Linked DNA regions of Caenorhabditis elegans. The protein of the gene in region 1 interacts with the protein of each later gene in a biochemical or structural test. Each region holds a gene or a part of one and is shown in the gene's direction. Other genes may lie near its edges.

Region 1 (6,242 bases):
ACACCATCTTTGGCAACTTTCATCGAGTTCTGAAACTTTATTCTCAACGTTTTGTGCTTCTTTTTACCCAATTAATACCTCTGTCATAAACACGGAATCATATTTTTCGCACTGTGAATTAATATCTTCTTGTGTTTTCTTTTCAGATTCCATTAAATCTTTAACCATGCTTTTATCGTGGGTTACTTCCAAGTCAGCATCGTCGATCTCCAGAAAATTTGTTAGTACAGTGCATTTTTCGAGTATTTTCGTCTTTGTTAATGCCTCTTTAATCTTCAAAATTCGATCCGAAGACTCCGGATGTGTTGGGCATACTGTATTCTCATGTTCATTTTGAGTTTGATTGAATCCGATGAGTGTTGGACCCTGTAAATAGATTATATGATTGTACGAACATATACTTTTCTTACCGTTGATCGATTTTTCTGCCTATCTTCGAAAAGCATGGAAAACTAAACGATAAATGTTTGAATAACCGCTAAAAGTCTAAAAAATCCTGTGGAAAAAATGTCCTCGTGATGGCCGTGGACTAGAATATTCAACTCAAGGCTACGGCCATCTGTGCACTTTACCGTCAAGTCGCGTGTGTTCTGACCTGTTTTGCATTTTGTTTATGTTTTTTTGTTTTTGTGTTATGCATCAATAAGAGTAATTGGACAAAAACATGAAATATCAAGTTTTCTTTGATTTTTCCAACCGCCTTGTGTAGATTTATAGTTCGTTTTTTAAACGTTTGCTCCTAAACACCCAATTTATGTATTTTACGTTGCAAACTTTTTGCAGAATGGCGACAGAGTCGGGTGGCTTGTCGAAGGAGGAATTCCTTCTTGTTCAAGAGCAACTTTTGCAGCTGAAAAATGAAAATTACGAGTTACGAGAGGAGATTAAAAAGAAGAACGCAGCAGCTTCCCAACACCAAAACTCTCCGAAAAATGAAGCATTGCAATTTGCTAGCAAGGTGAGGAAAAGTTTATTTTTATTATAATTAATTTAAATCTTTCAGTTAATCAACAGAGCATCTTCTTCGAAAAAAGATGAAGCAGAAATTGAGTCGCTTCGGCGGAAACTAGAGACCCAAGAGCAAGAGTTTCGCCTTCAACAATCTACCCTTTTTGAAGAGCTCAAGACAGTAAACTTTACATTTAAAATTCAAGCTTTTCAATGTCCAAATTACAGATATCCACACAAAATGAGACATTAAAGAATCAAATGTCGTCTTATTCTGATCATCCTCTGGAAAAAGAAGCAGAAGAAAGGCAAACAGTGGAACAATTAAAAGAAGCTATTAAAAATTTAACAGACGAAAAAGTTTTGCTATGTCAAGGTAATTTTATTCCAACTTTGTTCAATACAATTAATTGTATAAAAGGTTACAGAAACAATTCCTGCTATAAGCAACAAAGTTACAAGTCTCAGTGAAGAACTTGAAAACTGTCAGACATTGAACGTCGAGCTTGAAGATCGTTTACTCTCAATAACTTCAGAATCCGAAGCTATTCTTAAAATTAAGGAGAAGGTTGTCGAGGAAAATTTGCGAATTAGGAAAGAAATTGAAGAATTACGCAGAGAAAATGAAGGGATTGCTGAAAAAATGAAGGAGAGTAACAATGCAGTGATGGATGAAAATAAAAAGCTTTCTGATGATAATCTGGAATATAGAAAGACAATGTTGAGTCAGAAATCTGAAATTGACAGTTTAAAAGCTGAGAATTTTAAACTCGTCTCTGAAAATCAACTAAATCATGACGTTTCTAAAAACCTTGCTGCTCTACAATCAGAAAAACTAAAGCTGACTGAAATATCTCAACAAGAAATATCAGGTTTGAAAAAAAAGATCGAAGTTTTAAAATCGGAAAATCATCGTCTTTCGTCTCAAATCCAACAGAACACTAATGAAGCTGCAAAGAACCACGAAAAACTTTTAGAAGACCGAGTACTTCTTCTCGAAACTCGTTATCAATTGGAAGTTGATGATCTTAAAAAGAGTTTTGAGTCGGATAAAGAATGTTTCCTTTTGAAAATGACGAGTTTAGAGGAGAAGCTGAAATCAGCGGAAGAAGACAAGAAGCTCGCAGTGAAAAAAGCAATGTCTCTTGTGAAAGAGCTACAAAAATCATTAAAAGAAGAGAGAAAACGAGCTGATTCTTATGAGAGAAAAAGCGAAGAAAGAGCTGGATGGCATGTGGTTCCACCAGAAAATGATAGGCAAAGTAGTCATGTAAGCACATTTAATCAAGGACTAACATATATTCATCAAATTTTTCAGACTTTCGACGGAAACGAAAGTGTTTCATCAATGTCGGCAATCGAATCGGAGAACGTTGAACTTATCACTCGTCTAGCCACGTTACAAAAGATTCATTCGGAAAATGCAGATTCCGTAGGATCTTCTTTGCAGAATTCTTTGAAATATTGGAATAATCATCTTTCAGATTCTCCAACTCGAATCAGAAAATAGTCGCTTGCGACGGGAAGTGACGGAAAAAGGAGAATTAATTGAGAATTTGATCCGCGAAAAACCTCTTGGCACCGGATTTCAACAACAGAATAATCTGGGTTCTTCTTCTTCTTCTTCTGTTCAACCGAAACTTGAAGGTTTAGCTTCTAAAATTTTCATTTTTTTAAATACTGAAAATTATTCCAGCGTCATTCCGAAAACTGCTCAATACACTTGGCCAAGATTCCCGAGATTCAGATGTCCGTGAAATGAACAAAAAGCTGCAAAGAATGCTTGAAGAGACACTTTCTAAAAATATAATTCTTCAGAGAGACTTGCAAACTATTATGGAGAGAACTGGCTTGTAGATTTATATCTTTTTTTAAAATTTCTATTGAATCCGTGTGTGCATATGTAGATATTGTTACTGAAACCATTGCATTTTTTTTTCTGTATTTTTTGCTGAAATTTCAATTGATCTAATTTTCCAATTAAGCATTTTGTATATTCTTTGTGCATAATAATTTTTTAATTTTCAGTTTCCCATATTATTTTTTTATTTTCTCTCTGTCTGGTTCTCATTTTTTGAATCCACAGCAATACTTAATTCTTGAAAAAACATGAAATTTTCAGAAAAATCTCGCCAATTTTCAGAATGGAAGTAGAAGTACCTGGTGGATCAGAAGCTGCCGATACTGGAAGTGAAGCGAGTTATAAAGTGTCACAAGTAGAGATTGAAGATGTTGAAGAGAATTTGAAAAATGCTGATGTGATATTTGAACATCTTGAGCAACTTCCATTTCAGGTGTTTATTCTGAGCGAATTTGGAAAACCGATTTTTGTAAAGTGAGAATTTGCAAATATTATCCATTCAAACACACAAAGCCTTCTTTAAAAATTACAGCAACGATCGAAATGAGGGTGAAATCGTCAGTTTGGTGGCTCTAATTTGTGCATTTGTGAGCCGATGCCAATCTTGGGGTGATAGTTTGATGACGATGACGTCACAGGATAATCACATTCAATTTTTACACAAATCACCGCTTATTTTCTGCGTTGGTAAGAATTTTATGCAATGGAAACGCGCTCCGCCCCCGAAGCATGGGTCTCGTTAGGAATTTACCGGCTAAATCAAGAATTCAAATGTTTTCAGTTCGTTTCGCCGATTTGGCAAATTGCCAAGATTTTTTCGTCTTTTATGCTTTCTGTTACTGTTGGAACGTAAATTTTTCGAAGAGCATAACGTTTGGGTTTACAGTTTTGCCGCCGAACCTAACGAGACCAATTGTTCGGAGGCGGAACTATTTCAATTCGCTGTTTAGCGCGTTTTCGCGTTGATTTCTCTCTTTTTTGATAGAACTTTCAACGATTTCAGTCTCAAAATACCCGGAGCAACTGGATCAACAACTGGAAGTCCTTTTTGAGCAGATTTGTTCGATTCTTTCCAAAAGTCAATTGGAAAATGTATACAAGAAAAAGGGTGACAATTACGATCTTCGAAAACTTCTTCGTGGAACCGATCGTTTAATTGATTCATCGATTTCTTCGTGGAGAGCCTCCCCGATCAATCTTGTCGATTCTTCGATTTCGGCAATTCCAATGAATCCATCAGATCGGGAATTTCTATCAACAACGATGGCTTCATGTCTTGGAGCAGCGAAATTAGATGGTGCTCTTTTCGGAATAATGATTGCGAGAAGGCAAATCGCAGCGATGGTTAGATTTAAGGTGGGATGATAAAAAATAGAGATTAATTTAATTTTTGATTTATGTTTCAGAAATATATGATTCATCCTCGTGATTTGAACATTGTCATCAACCTTGTCTCTGATAATACTCTACAAACAGACTCCCAGAATTGGGTTCCAATCTGTCTGCCACGGTTCAATGACACAGGATTTTTCTACGCCTACATATCGTATCCATGGTGCAATAAAGAGCAAGATATTCCTGTGTGCATTGTGCTTCTTTCGGTGAAACGAGATCATTTCGATGGGCTCAAGGAAGTTCGACAACAAATTGTGACGAAGTTGGAAAATAATCAAAAGTTCTTTGTTAACTTTGCACAGGCGATGAAGACGCCGAATCTTTATCAAATATCACAAATCGGATCGAATTCCGAATCGCTTTGGTCGTTTTTGTATTTAAATCATTCTTCAAAGCAAGTCTGTATGTCAGCCTCAAAGTGAGTTAGCCTCTAAATGTTCCATTAATTATATGCGCTCTATTATTTCAGAATTCCCCTAATAACACGTGACGAACGATGGATTGCTCGTTCAGAAATGCGTCGATCTTCATCATTATCATCTCTCCATCCACATCTTCGAACTCTTTTCGTACGTGGCACCAAACATTGTCTTTTTGTTTGGGTCACTGATCTCTTTTCACTTTACTGCATATTCGGACCATTTGTCACCGCAACAATCGCATTCCAAGTCGTCGAAAAGCTTCTGAAATCGCTGAAATCTCACGAACAACGATATTTTATCATTAATTCAACATCCTTTTAATTTTCAACTGTTTGTAAAAATTGTGATACTTAAAACGTTTACGTGTTTTCTAACCACAGATTTTAATTTGCCAATATATTTTTACTGCCCTTCAAATTGCCAAAAAAGATCAAGTAGAAATTAATAAAGCGAACCTCTCATTCATTACTGTTTACAGCAAGTGTAATACGTCTTAAATGACGTCCTATGATCTAATGTACTTATTAAACAAAGTTATTGGAAAGAATAGGGAAAAGTATCGATTAAAACGTACACATTTCGAATTGATGTTGGGGGAAGCGGAGTGTGTTTGAAGGAGTCTCGCTCGTCTCTATATCTCTGCACTCTCCGCTTCTCACACACTCTTTCGCCGTCATTTCGGCCGTGTCCCCCACTTCGTCGGTTTATTCTACCCGCCTTCTCCTTCACCATCGCTTTTTCCTCGTCCACCAACACGCGCTCTTTGAATTTCTAGCTGATGGCTATGGCAACCAGAAACCTGTGACATTTTAGTTTTGCATGAAAACTTTTTGATTTTCAAACGAAATTTGTTTTCAATGAAGAGAAACGCATAGTATTTTGAAAACTTCCATTTTTCAACGCCTGCCCATTTTTTTAAAATTTGGTTCAACTTTAAAATAGTTTAAAGTTTTTTTTTAAATTTAAGCTCGAGCTTTTTCTCCTCAATTTGTCGCAATTTTTTAATTGTAAAAACAATTTTTTTTTGTAATTAGCTAAACTTATTCCTATAAAAATCCTGAAACGCCGCTTGCACTTTCACTATACGAATAACTCTTTATATTATGTTTTTGATGGGTATTAGAACAATTTAAAAGCACCCTTTCACACATAACAAAAGATTTCTGGGCACGAAAAAAAACAAATTAGCATGGATTTCTATCTGAAAACGCCTGAAAATCGATTTTTTCTGCTATTAGTCCAATGGAGCGCACTTCCTGACCCCATCATTTTTTGTATTTTTTCGAATTTCCCATCGTTTTTAGGCCAAATTTTTTGTATTAATAATCTTAATTTCTAGTTTTCTTTGCTTTTATCTTTTCTTCAAGTCATTTCAATCCTCATATCACTATTTTCAGCTCAAAAATGTCGTACCGCGTGTTTTCACGCGTCGATCCCCATGTGCCATCGACATCCACAGCTCCACAGCGTCGTTTTCAAGAAAACTTGCAAAAATTCAAGCGATTTTTTCCGCCAAACGCACCACCAACACTCTGGGAAGTTTGCTCCTCGAAACAACGCAGCAAATCATTGAAAAACACGTTTCAAACGGTAAGTTGATCAGAAAAAAAAACTGA
Region 2 (9,654 bases), on another chromosome or scaffold:
TCCCCTGATTCTGAAGATATATGGCGCCTCAAAACACTTTGTAACGCTCGCCTGTTTATTATTTTAATTAAGTTAAAATAATAAATAGATGAGTTAGATAGTGTTTTGCGGCGCCCTATATCTTCCGGGTTCCGAGAAATTTTCCGAGATGCTCTGGCAATAGGCCGTAGGCATACTTTAAAATGAACTTTATGAATATCCTTCGGCTTATGAACAGGATCAGAGATCCCCGACGGAAACTCGATTGAGACACTGGTCACCGCTTTTCTCGTTGGATCATTCTTAGGCTTCTTGAAATTCTTCAAGCATTCTTTGAACGCCGATTCAACTTCTTTTCCGGCTTCCGCAAAACCATTCACATTTTTCGAGTTTTTGATGCACGCGTATTTTCTTGCATCTTGTTCTCTGGGAAATATTGAATTGTAAAATAATTGGGTTACTGTCGTTTTCGAAGTCTTGCGACGAAGCCTAACGCTTTTCGCTTTTCAAAATTGATTCCCCGTGGCCGAGTTTTCTCTTCCGCGGCCATCTTTGACTAACTTTTGAATCGCACGAAACATCTCAATATCCACTGGAATCGGGATTTCCATGAGCTCCTTCTTGAATACGGTTTTAATTGTCGATTTGTGAGGAGGGGGAGGCGGTTGTTGGCCACACTGAAAATTGTCTACTGTATTCTAAGTGCATGCGCCTTTAAATTAATATCATTTTCCACTCAGGATTCACTCCCAGGTTATCAATAGAGCGCGTTGTCCTAATAAAAACCCCAAAAAACTTACGAGAATTGCGTCATTTTGAGGGTATTTTGGTGACGTCACTGAATCGTAGGAAACGGTTCCAGAAGACGCACTGATACAAGTCACAGGATCCGCATGAAAATCGATAACGTGCTGAAAGAAAATCGATTAAATACTAGTTTTTTGGTTGGAAAATTGCGGAAAAATCAATAAATTAAAAAAAAATTCTTACAATAAATCGTTGTGCAAGTTTGATAGGAACAATCGATCCTTCGCTGCTCATTTTGAAAATATTGAAATAATTCAATTTTACGGTTTTTCACTTAAAAACACCACGTCAAAAGTTTTGAATTTTTTTAATCGATAAATCCCCACGTAATTATTTTTAGGAATTTTTACGGGTATTAAAAAATTCTGAGAATGCGTATTACACAGAACATCTGACTCGCAAAATATCTCGAAGCGAAAACTACGGTAGTTCTTTAAATGACTACAGTAGCACTTGTGTCGATTTACGGGCTCGATTTTTGTAATGAATTTATTTATCGATAGAACATTTATTTAAAAAGCAAAAAAATGAGACTATTATCCGATGAAATATTTGAAAACAAATTCATATCGAAAAATTAGTTTTTTTCGATTTTTTGATATGAATTTCTTTTCGAATATTTCTTCGGATAATAGTCTCATTTTTTTGCTTTTTAAAAAAATGTTCTATCGATAAATAAATTCATTACAAAAATCTAGCCCGTAAATCGACACAAGTGCTACTGTAGTCATTTAAAGAACTACCGTAGTTTTCGCTTCGAGATATTTTGCGCGGCAGATGTTCTGTGTAATACGCATTCTCAGAATTTTGTGTTACCGTAATAAATCAATTTTGTAATCCGAGAAAAAATCTCTAAAATAAGATTTAAAAAATGCGCAGAACAATTTAAACAAAAAATAGTTTTTTGCTAAAAAATGTAACTTTTTTTTGCAAATTTGAAAGAAAAATCCTGTAAAATTTGGTGGAAACTCCGAAATAAGTTGAATTTGATGGGCAAACACAAAAACAAAAAATTTCTTCGAAAACTAGCTTTTTTTCTTCAAAATTTTGATTGATCCACATGGAAATCCCCATTTTCCAGGAAATTTTCATTGTATTCGTTCTAACAATTCCCCCAGATTGTGTATGTATTCAAAAGTTCATGGCTGGTGGCACGCTCTGAAAACCAATTTCCGAAAAAATCGGATTTCCGAGTATGTCCTCTCGATCTTTTCAGAACGAGCAGCTGTTTCCAGCTTTCAAAGCACGATGGAGGCGGAGCTTCCATGAAGACTGAGTAATCGAGGATGAGAGTGTGAAGACGCAGAGAAGCGAACTTGTGACCGCGTAGAGCCCTCCTCCATCTTCGGCTTGAGTTTCCCTGCCAGACGGGGACAACTTTAGCACCAATAGAACCCTCCTGGGTCCATTTTTCTTGGTTTTTGGTCGATTTTTAATTAAAAATTGACAGAAATTCTAGATTTTATGTTTAAATTTATTTTTTTTTACTTCCAAAAACTTGATTTGATTAAAAATTGAATTTTCACTGAAAATTGGACTGAAAAGTTGGATAATTTAAAATAAATTGGCTCAAAAACCTCTTTAATTTATTTTTTTTGCCGAAGATGTAATGTTTTATTAGTCTAGAATTTATTATTATCATTTTCCTTCAATTCAAATTTAGATTAGAAATTCAGCTTCAGAAATTTCAGATAATTTATAAATTTTAAGGAAAAAATGTTTTTTTTAATTTACTTTTAAAATAAATACAATTGAAAAAAATTGGAAAATCAAAAAAATCCAATTTTTCAACTAATTTTAATTTTTTTTTAATCTGAAACATCAGATTTTTTAAAAAATAATTAATAAGCTTTCGCAAAATCTCTAAAGTCAGTTTTTTTCGAAATTTTCAATTTTTGTGTGATTTTTCGAAAAATAATTGTGTTAAAATTATTTTTTCTTTAATTTGAACTGTAGTTTTATATTTTCTTCGACCCTTAATTCTCATTTTTAAAATTGTTTTTTTCTTCATGAAAAAATTAAAAATTTTTCAGTTTCAAACACCCCACAAAGTAATGTCAGATAAGCATGGCGAGGAGGACAAGAAAGCAAAAATGCATTTAAAAGCTAATGATTTAGTGAGTTTTTTCCTATTTTTAAAATTTCCAATATTAATTTTTCCTGAAAAAATAAAAAAAATAAATGAAAATTTAAAAAATCAAGATTTTTTGAAATTACAGTAACCCAATTTTTAAAGGCGGAATATCGGAGCATCGTTTATATTCATTTTTGAATAAAAATCAATTTCTTTTTGCAGTTATGTGTCAATGGATGCGGATTCTACGGGACCCCACAGTGGGAGAATCGTTGCTCAAAATGTTGGAGAGCTCATCAGAATGAGATGAAAAAATGTCAGGATTTTGCGAAGAATAGGTAAAAAATTGAAAAAAAATGCCTAAATTCGAATTTTGAATACTTTTTTAAAGAAAAATTCCAAAAAAAAAAACTCTAAAATTAAAAAAAAAATTTCATAATTCCACGAAAATACCTTGAAATATAAGGAAAAAATCTAAAATCTCAGAAAAAACCTGAAATTCCAAGAAAATTCGTGGAAATTTCAGAAAAATATCGTTAAAATAAAAATAAAAAACCCCTGAAATTCCAAGAAAAAATCGCTGAAAATTCGAAAAAAAAATTTTCAAATTTCAGAAAAAAAAAAACCTAATTTTCCGCTCAAATATCCCTTTTTTCCAGATCTCTTCTAAGTTTCGATCAATTCCAAGAGCGGCGTAAATCGACAACAGAAAGCAAGTCACGTGGCATCAAAAATCTGTTTAAAACGTCTCCGATTCCAGGTAAGTGTGGGGATTTTGCTACGTGGCCGTGAAAAGAAAAACTCGGCCACAGATTTTTTTTTTGAAAAAAGTTTTAAAATTTGCTATTTTTCAGAAGGCGGAACCAGTTCACCAACTTCCACGTCACCGGCGAGCACACCAACTCGGTGGGTTTTTAAGAAATTTTATAGTATAAAAAAAAATTTTAGGTGGTTTAAAAAAGTTCTGTTGATTTTTTCAAATTTTAAAGCAAATTATAGACCTTTTCACTGGTTTTCGAGTGATTTTGTAATTTTCAAAGCCAATTTTCAATAATTTCGAGTTTTTTTTAAAACAAAATATTCAGGAAAAGTGATTTTAACCGATTTTCGGGTGATTTTAGATAAAAATTCAGATTTTTTTTTGAGGATTTCAGACAAATTTTCAACAATTTTCTACTATTTTTCCAGTTTTGAGGCCGTTGTCTGCAAAACAAAAACCAATTTTTCCGCGATTTCGAGCATATTTAGGTTATTTTAGACGTAAAAGATGTTTTTGGATTCAAGATTATTAAAGTTTTTTTTTCTAAAATATCTTTTTTTCCGCAATTTTACCAGTTTTTGGACTCTAAAATTTAGGCCAATTTCTGTCAAAAAGTGGGCAAAAAATCTGAGAATTAGTGGTTGTTGTTGTTTTTTGTTTACGATAGAGTTGTTATTCTATATACAGCTGCTGTGTATATATTTATGCATCTCTGCCACTTTTTTCTCTATACGAATAGACGATGAGCTTTAGTCGGACGGGAATAGAGAGTTATTTTTTGTGATTTGATTTGGGAAAAAAAGAGGGAAAAGTCTGAAAATGACTGAAAAATGTTTGAAAAACCCTGGAAATTCATTTTGAAAGGTTTATAAAACATATTCTCGAAATTTAAAAAAATGCTTTAAAAAGTAGAATTTTTCATAAATTTGCAATTTTGAAAAACAGTTTTAAATTATCGGTCAATTTTTGAAAACTGTATAGTTCGAAACAACGTTTGCCTGGGAATTCAAACATGGCTTGATTTTTTTTTTGCAAAATTGAAAAAATATATATGCAATTTGTTCAATTCCTTTTTCAGTCACTACGCTATATTTTCTAGAAGAAAATATATTCTAAGAACATTAATTTCTGAAAAATTTGAGTTCAAAACGAGCAATTTTAGATGTATAATCTCCCCTCTTTCTCTGTCTGCGTGACCGAATACAAAATGAGAAGTGGTGCGTAAGAAGAAGGAGAGAACTACATTCTAAGGGCACTTAGATTTCGATCTTTTGAGACTTTTTTCAGTTGGAAAATGGGGTTTTTAGGGGGATTTTCAATGCAAAAATCAGAGAAAATGCTTTTAGAGCAGTCTGAAAGTGCGGAAATTACCAAAAATTAGCTCAAAACCTAGAGAATATTGCTGAAAATTCAAGTTTCAAACTGAAGTTTTGAATTTTCTAAAGCTTTTCAGAGTTTTTTTGTTCTAAAATTACCTGTAATTTTCATCTAATTTCACTGGAAAATTGACTTTAAAAGTAGAATTTTAGCCTATAATTGAGGTTTCTAGAGCACTAAGTATAGAACAATTTTTCAAAAAATTCGTATTAATATGTACCTGAAATCTCATTTCTAAGATAAAGTTCAATTTTGTAATCAATTTTTTTGAACCTCTTTCTGATCAAAATTGTATAAAAAACCCTAATAGTAAGCATAACTTTTGAATTGACTAAAAAAATTAATTATTATGATTTTTAATATTAAATTTTTAGCTATTTTAACTAGATTTGGAGTCAATTTTTTGTGGAAAAAAATCGATTTTTATAGGACTTTAGGATAAAAAAGTTTTTTATTTCGAATTTTTAAATCAAAACCGAAATACAAACAATTTTCGTATTTGGCAGAACCCAAAAAAAAATCCTAAAACCACTCCAAAATTGGCATTTCTCATTCAAAAAAATTGCACCTTTTTTGAGCAAATTTGACACCAATTTTTTTTTTCGAGTTTTCGGTTTTATTTTGAGAAAAATCGAAAAAAAAAGGAAAAATTTTCTAACAGTGTTTTTCGGTTTCCAGGAAGTAATAAAAAATTCATATCGCCACATAATATTATATCAAAGAACATGTTTGTCTGAAAGAAAAAGTTCAACTTTCTTGTGAATGAATAACTAATTAATCACTGACTCATTTGTCTAACAATTCTGAGAATTCTTTTTCCTTTTTCCATTTCTCGTTGACACGTTCTCCTTGTTTTCGAGAGCAGCTTCTCTCCTAAAGAAGAAAAAAAAGAAAATGTAATTGAGAGGAGCTCGCCGAGCTTGGAAAGACACGGAGAGAGCACACTTTTTGCTTCTGTTCCTGAAAAGTACATGAACTACTTGGTTAGTCATTGTGCTCACCACTCGTGGGACAAAAGAAAAGTGCATATTCAGATGAAATTTGCATGGCATAATAGAGTAGTTTCTATTAATTGAAATTGACAATTTGAAAAAAGAATTCGTTATTTCTGGAATTTGGGAAATTAAAGTAGCTTCAAATAGTAAAAAAATTAGTAAAACTGGGGGAAAATGGCAAATTTTCAAAAAATTTGGACTTTAGAAATTTACAGCATTTCTCAAATCATTAAATACCAATCAGAGGTGGGCGGATATTTTTTCGGATATTTTCTAATAATGAATTTATCAATAAGTATCGATGTAGTTATTCTGGAAGACATGTATCCGAACCAAAGAGTAACTATTAAGCAACATTTAATATGATAATCCCTAGAAAAATTCTACAAGTTTTCCTTACCGAGACCTTAAAACTTATTAGCCGAGCAACATCGGATATCGGATATTACGGATATTACGGATATCGGATAATGGACTTGCATATCGTTTATACAGAAAACTTGTAGAATTTTTCTAGGTTTTATCATATTAAAATGTTGCTTAATAGTTACTCTTTTGTTCGGATACATTTCTTCCAGAATAACTACATCAATACTTATTGATAAATTCATTATTAGAAAATATCCGAAAAAATATCCGCCCACCTCTGATATAAATAGAACCTACTGATATTTTCCAAATGATAAAAAAAATTCTAAGTTCAATAAACGGGTGTTTAACTATCCAAAATAGATATCCCAAATAATCGAAGCAAATAAAAAATACCGAAATTAAATATCAACGGCTTATTTTATTTTTTTGTAATGTATAAATTCATATTCTGTAAAATATAAATCATAAATGTAAATATCTGAAATTTTCAAAAATAATTGTTTGCATAGTCTGAAACAGTATAAAGGATTATGTGAAGTTTTCTAAAAATATTTTTTAGAATCATGAAAAAATGTTCAGAAAATTTGGAAATTATGGGAATTTGTTTGAAACGAAATATTTACTAGAAGCCTCTGAAAATGTCCTTTAAAGTCTGAAATCAGCCTAGATTATTGTTAAAATTCTTGGAATTCTGAAATTTCTGAAAACTTCTCTGAAATCGTTTAAAAAGTAAAAACAAATGTGGTTATACAAATAGTGTCAAAAATTGAAAAGTGTAGAAAAATTATGTCACAACTGTATTAAATAACATACAAACATGTATTTTAATACGGCTGTGACGTCAGAAATGTATTTCAATAATAAAAACCGTTTTTTTTTACATTTAAAAATCAAAAAAATCAAGAAAATTAAATATTTATGAATTCAATACCAAACGACCGAGAAGATCACATGTTTCAAAAATCAAAAACTCAGTCAAAAATAAAAATTTGTTATATTAAAAAAAATAGTTGTTTTAATTTAACCTCTGCGAAATCTTAAATTGTTTTATCAAATTTGTTATATCAAACATTTCAAATTGAATTTCAAAGTAAACCAAATAAAAGTCATTCCAGACGTCGAGAACTCTCCCCGGATTCTCTGGAAGCCCGTCAACAATTCACCGATTTTCTCGTAGCGAATCTCTCAACAGGAATGGCTCAAGAAATTGCTCGTTCAGTGAAAAACGCGGTGAATAAGATCTCAGAAATGAGAATGAGCTCAGATGATATGTCAGAACTTGTAATGAGTTATTATCAATATCTTGGAGAACGAATCGGTGGACATTCGTTATTTGATTCACCGGATTGTAAAGTTAAAGTGGAAGATGTGATGGACCAAGTGGAAAAGTATATATCAACATTTTGTTATTCAATATTCTTTTGTGCAAATCATGAAGAAGAAGTAGCTGATATGTCGTTGCAAGACCGTATTCGATCACTTCACTGGGTTACTGCTGGATTTCTGGAAACTAAGATGGTTTTTAAGAAACAAACGGTTCGAGATAAAATTGATGAAGCTATTTCGGAACTTATTGAGATTAATGCAAAACGATCTGCATTTGAGAAGCTTGATTGTTTGACGAAATCTTGTAAGGCGATTTTTGAGGCGCTTAAGGAGAGTGGTGAGTTTTTATTTTATCTGGAACAGATTTATAAAAATTTTAATGATAAATATCAACAAAAAAAAAACAGAAAAATCGGTTTATTTTTCTGAAAAAAAAAGAAATTATTTTCTATTTAAAAAGTGTATAATTTCCAGTTTTCAGACAACTTTTTTATTCAATTTTTTAAATTTTTCAAATTAAAATTATTTCAAATACATGAAATTTGAAAAAAAAATTTGGAAAAATATATATTTTTTTAACATTTGGAATTTTGACGAAATTTAAGTTTTTTTCTATTTAAATAAATTTTTTTTCAGCATCAAACATAATTTCGTACAAATTTCCTGGACTTTATTGGAATTGGAAAAATTGGAAATTAAATTGGAAAAAAAATTTCAATCAAAAAATTCGCCGAAAAACTTCAAAAATCCGGTTTTTTGTTTTTAAAATGTATTTCCTAACAATAAGTTAGTGGAATTTGAAAAAAAAAGAGTAAAATTTCATCGAAATAGTTTAATAACAGATTTTTAAAAAATTTCTGAACGAATTTTCCGAAAAAAATTCCAAGAAAGCCAAATATTTATGAATTCAATCCCAAAAGACCAAAAAAAAATCACCTGTTTCAAAAATCAAAAATTTTCAGAAGCTTCAACATCGGCTGACGAATTCCTGCCAACACTAATATACGTTTTATTCCGTGGAAATCCGCCGTTAATTCAATCAAATGTCAAATTTATATCAAGATTTGCAATTCCAGCGAGGCTTATGAGTGGAGAAGCTGGTGAATATTTGAATTAAGCATCCAAAATTCTCGAAAAAAAATTTTTATAGAAAAAACTAGATTCTGCAATTTAAAATCTTCAATTTGGCCAATTTTCACTGGTCCAGGCGACCGGAAAATTATTTTTTTTAATTAAAAAAATTATTCCATGTTGAAGATTTTAGGCGAATTTGGCCCTTTTTCAATATTTTCAACCTCCTGAACTTTTTTTTTACATATTTTTGAAAATTTTCATATAAAAAATCCACACTTTCGGGGTTATTTTACGTCTATAAAAACCAAAAAGTTCTAATTTTCAATTCATTTTCCAGCCTATTTCTTCACGAATCTCTCCTGTGCCCTCGAATTTGCCAGAAACATGAATCACGAGAGTCTTCAAATGGAAAAATCTGAATTCGAAGCCTACACATCTGGACATTTGGCTCCACCACTCTCAGTTATCAATTCAGCATGTAATCAGGCAATTTATGTACTTGAAGGAACTATTGAGACTATAACAAATGTTGCAAAAAAGGCGGGAAGTCTCGCGAAAAACTTGACGAATATGCATGGAAAATCTGATGAGTAAGGGATTTTAGAAATTTTTTTTAATGAAAAAAATTTAGTTTATTTATGGAAAAAAACACCGATTTTTTTCATATTTTCTTGAAAAAAAAATACAGAAAAAAAATTTTCAAAAAAATTGCTACATTTGATCAGTTTTTATCTAATTTTTTAGGAAAAAAATTTTTGAACTTGTTCTAGAAAAATCAAAAGAAATGATTTTTGTTTTAAAAAAATATACCGATATACATTAATTTTTCAGTTTTCATTCATGTTTTTTTTCTGAAAACTAAAAAAATTGTTTAACCAATTTTTCCAAAA

The links. The genes of interacting proteins can lie anywhere in the genome.
Region 2: the proteins of sand-1 (region 1) and rabx-5 form a complex in vitro, tested with the Caenorhabditis elegans proteins (one study listed by BioGRID).

What each region holds. Positions count from the first base shown.
Region 1 is NC_003282.8:5,363,776-5,370,017, forward strand, and holds sand-1 (Vacuolar fusion protein MON1 homolog), read left to right. Parts: upstream 1-3,091; 5' UTR 3,092-3,092; coding exon 3,093-3,283; intron 3,284-3,341; coding exon 3,342-3,496; intron 3,497-3,812; coding exon 3,813-4,165; intron 4,166-4,215; coding exon 4,216-4,622; intron 4,623-4,673; coding exon 4,674-4,947; 3' UTR 4,948-5,090; downstream 5,091-6,242. Other genes in the region: hda-6 (histone deacetylase), read right to left, coding at 1-35, 79-366, 411-446; F41H10.4 (GRIP domain-containing protein), read left to right, coding at 785-958, 1,004-1,129, 1,177-1,324, 1,377-2,218, 2,267-2,380, 2,433-2,595, 2,645-2,805; F41H10.3 (RNA-directed RNA polymerase), read left to right, coding at 6,031-6,216.
Region 2 is NC_003281.10:10,602,530-10,612,183, forward strand, and holds the start of rabx-5 (Rab5 GDP/GTP exchange factor), read left to right. Parts: upstream 1-2,840; coding exon 2,841-2,903; intron 2,904-3,082; coding exon 3,083-3,198; intron 3,199-3,519; coding exon 3,520-3,620; intron 3,621-3,714; coding exon 3,715-3,766; intron 3,767-7,470; coding exon 7,471-8,027; intron 8,028-8,652; coding exon 8,653-8,790; intron 8,791-9,101; coding exon 9,102-9,354; intron 9,355-9,654. Other genes in the region: Y39A1A.2 (Reverse transcriptase domain-containing protein), read right to left, coding at 177-405, 541-656, 780-890, 970-1,020.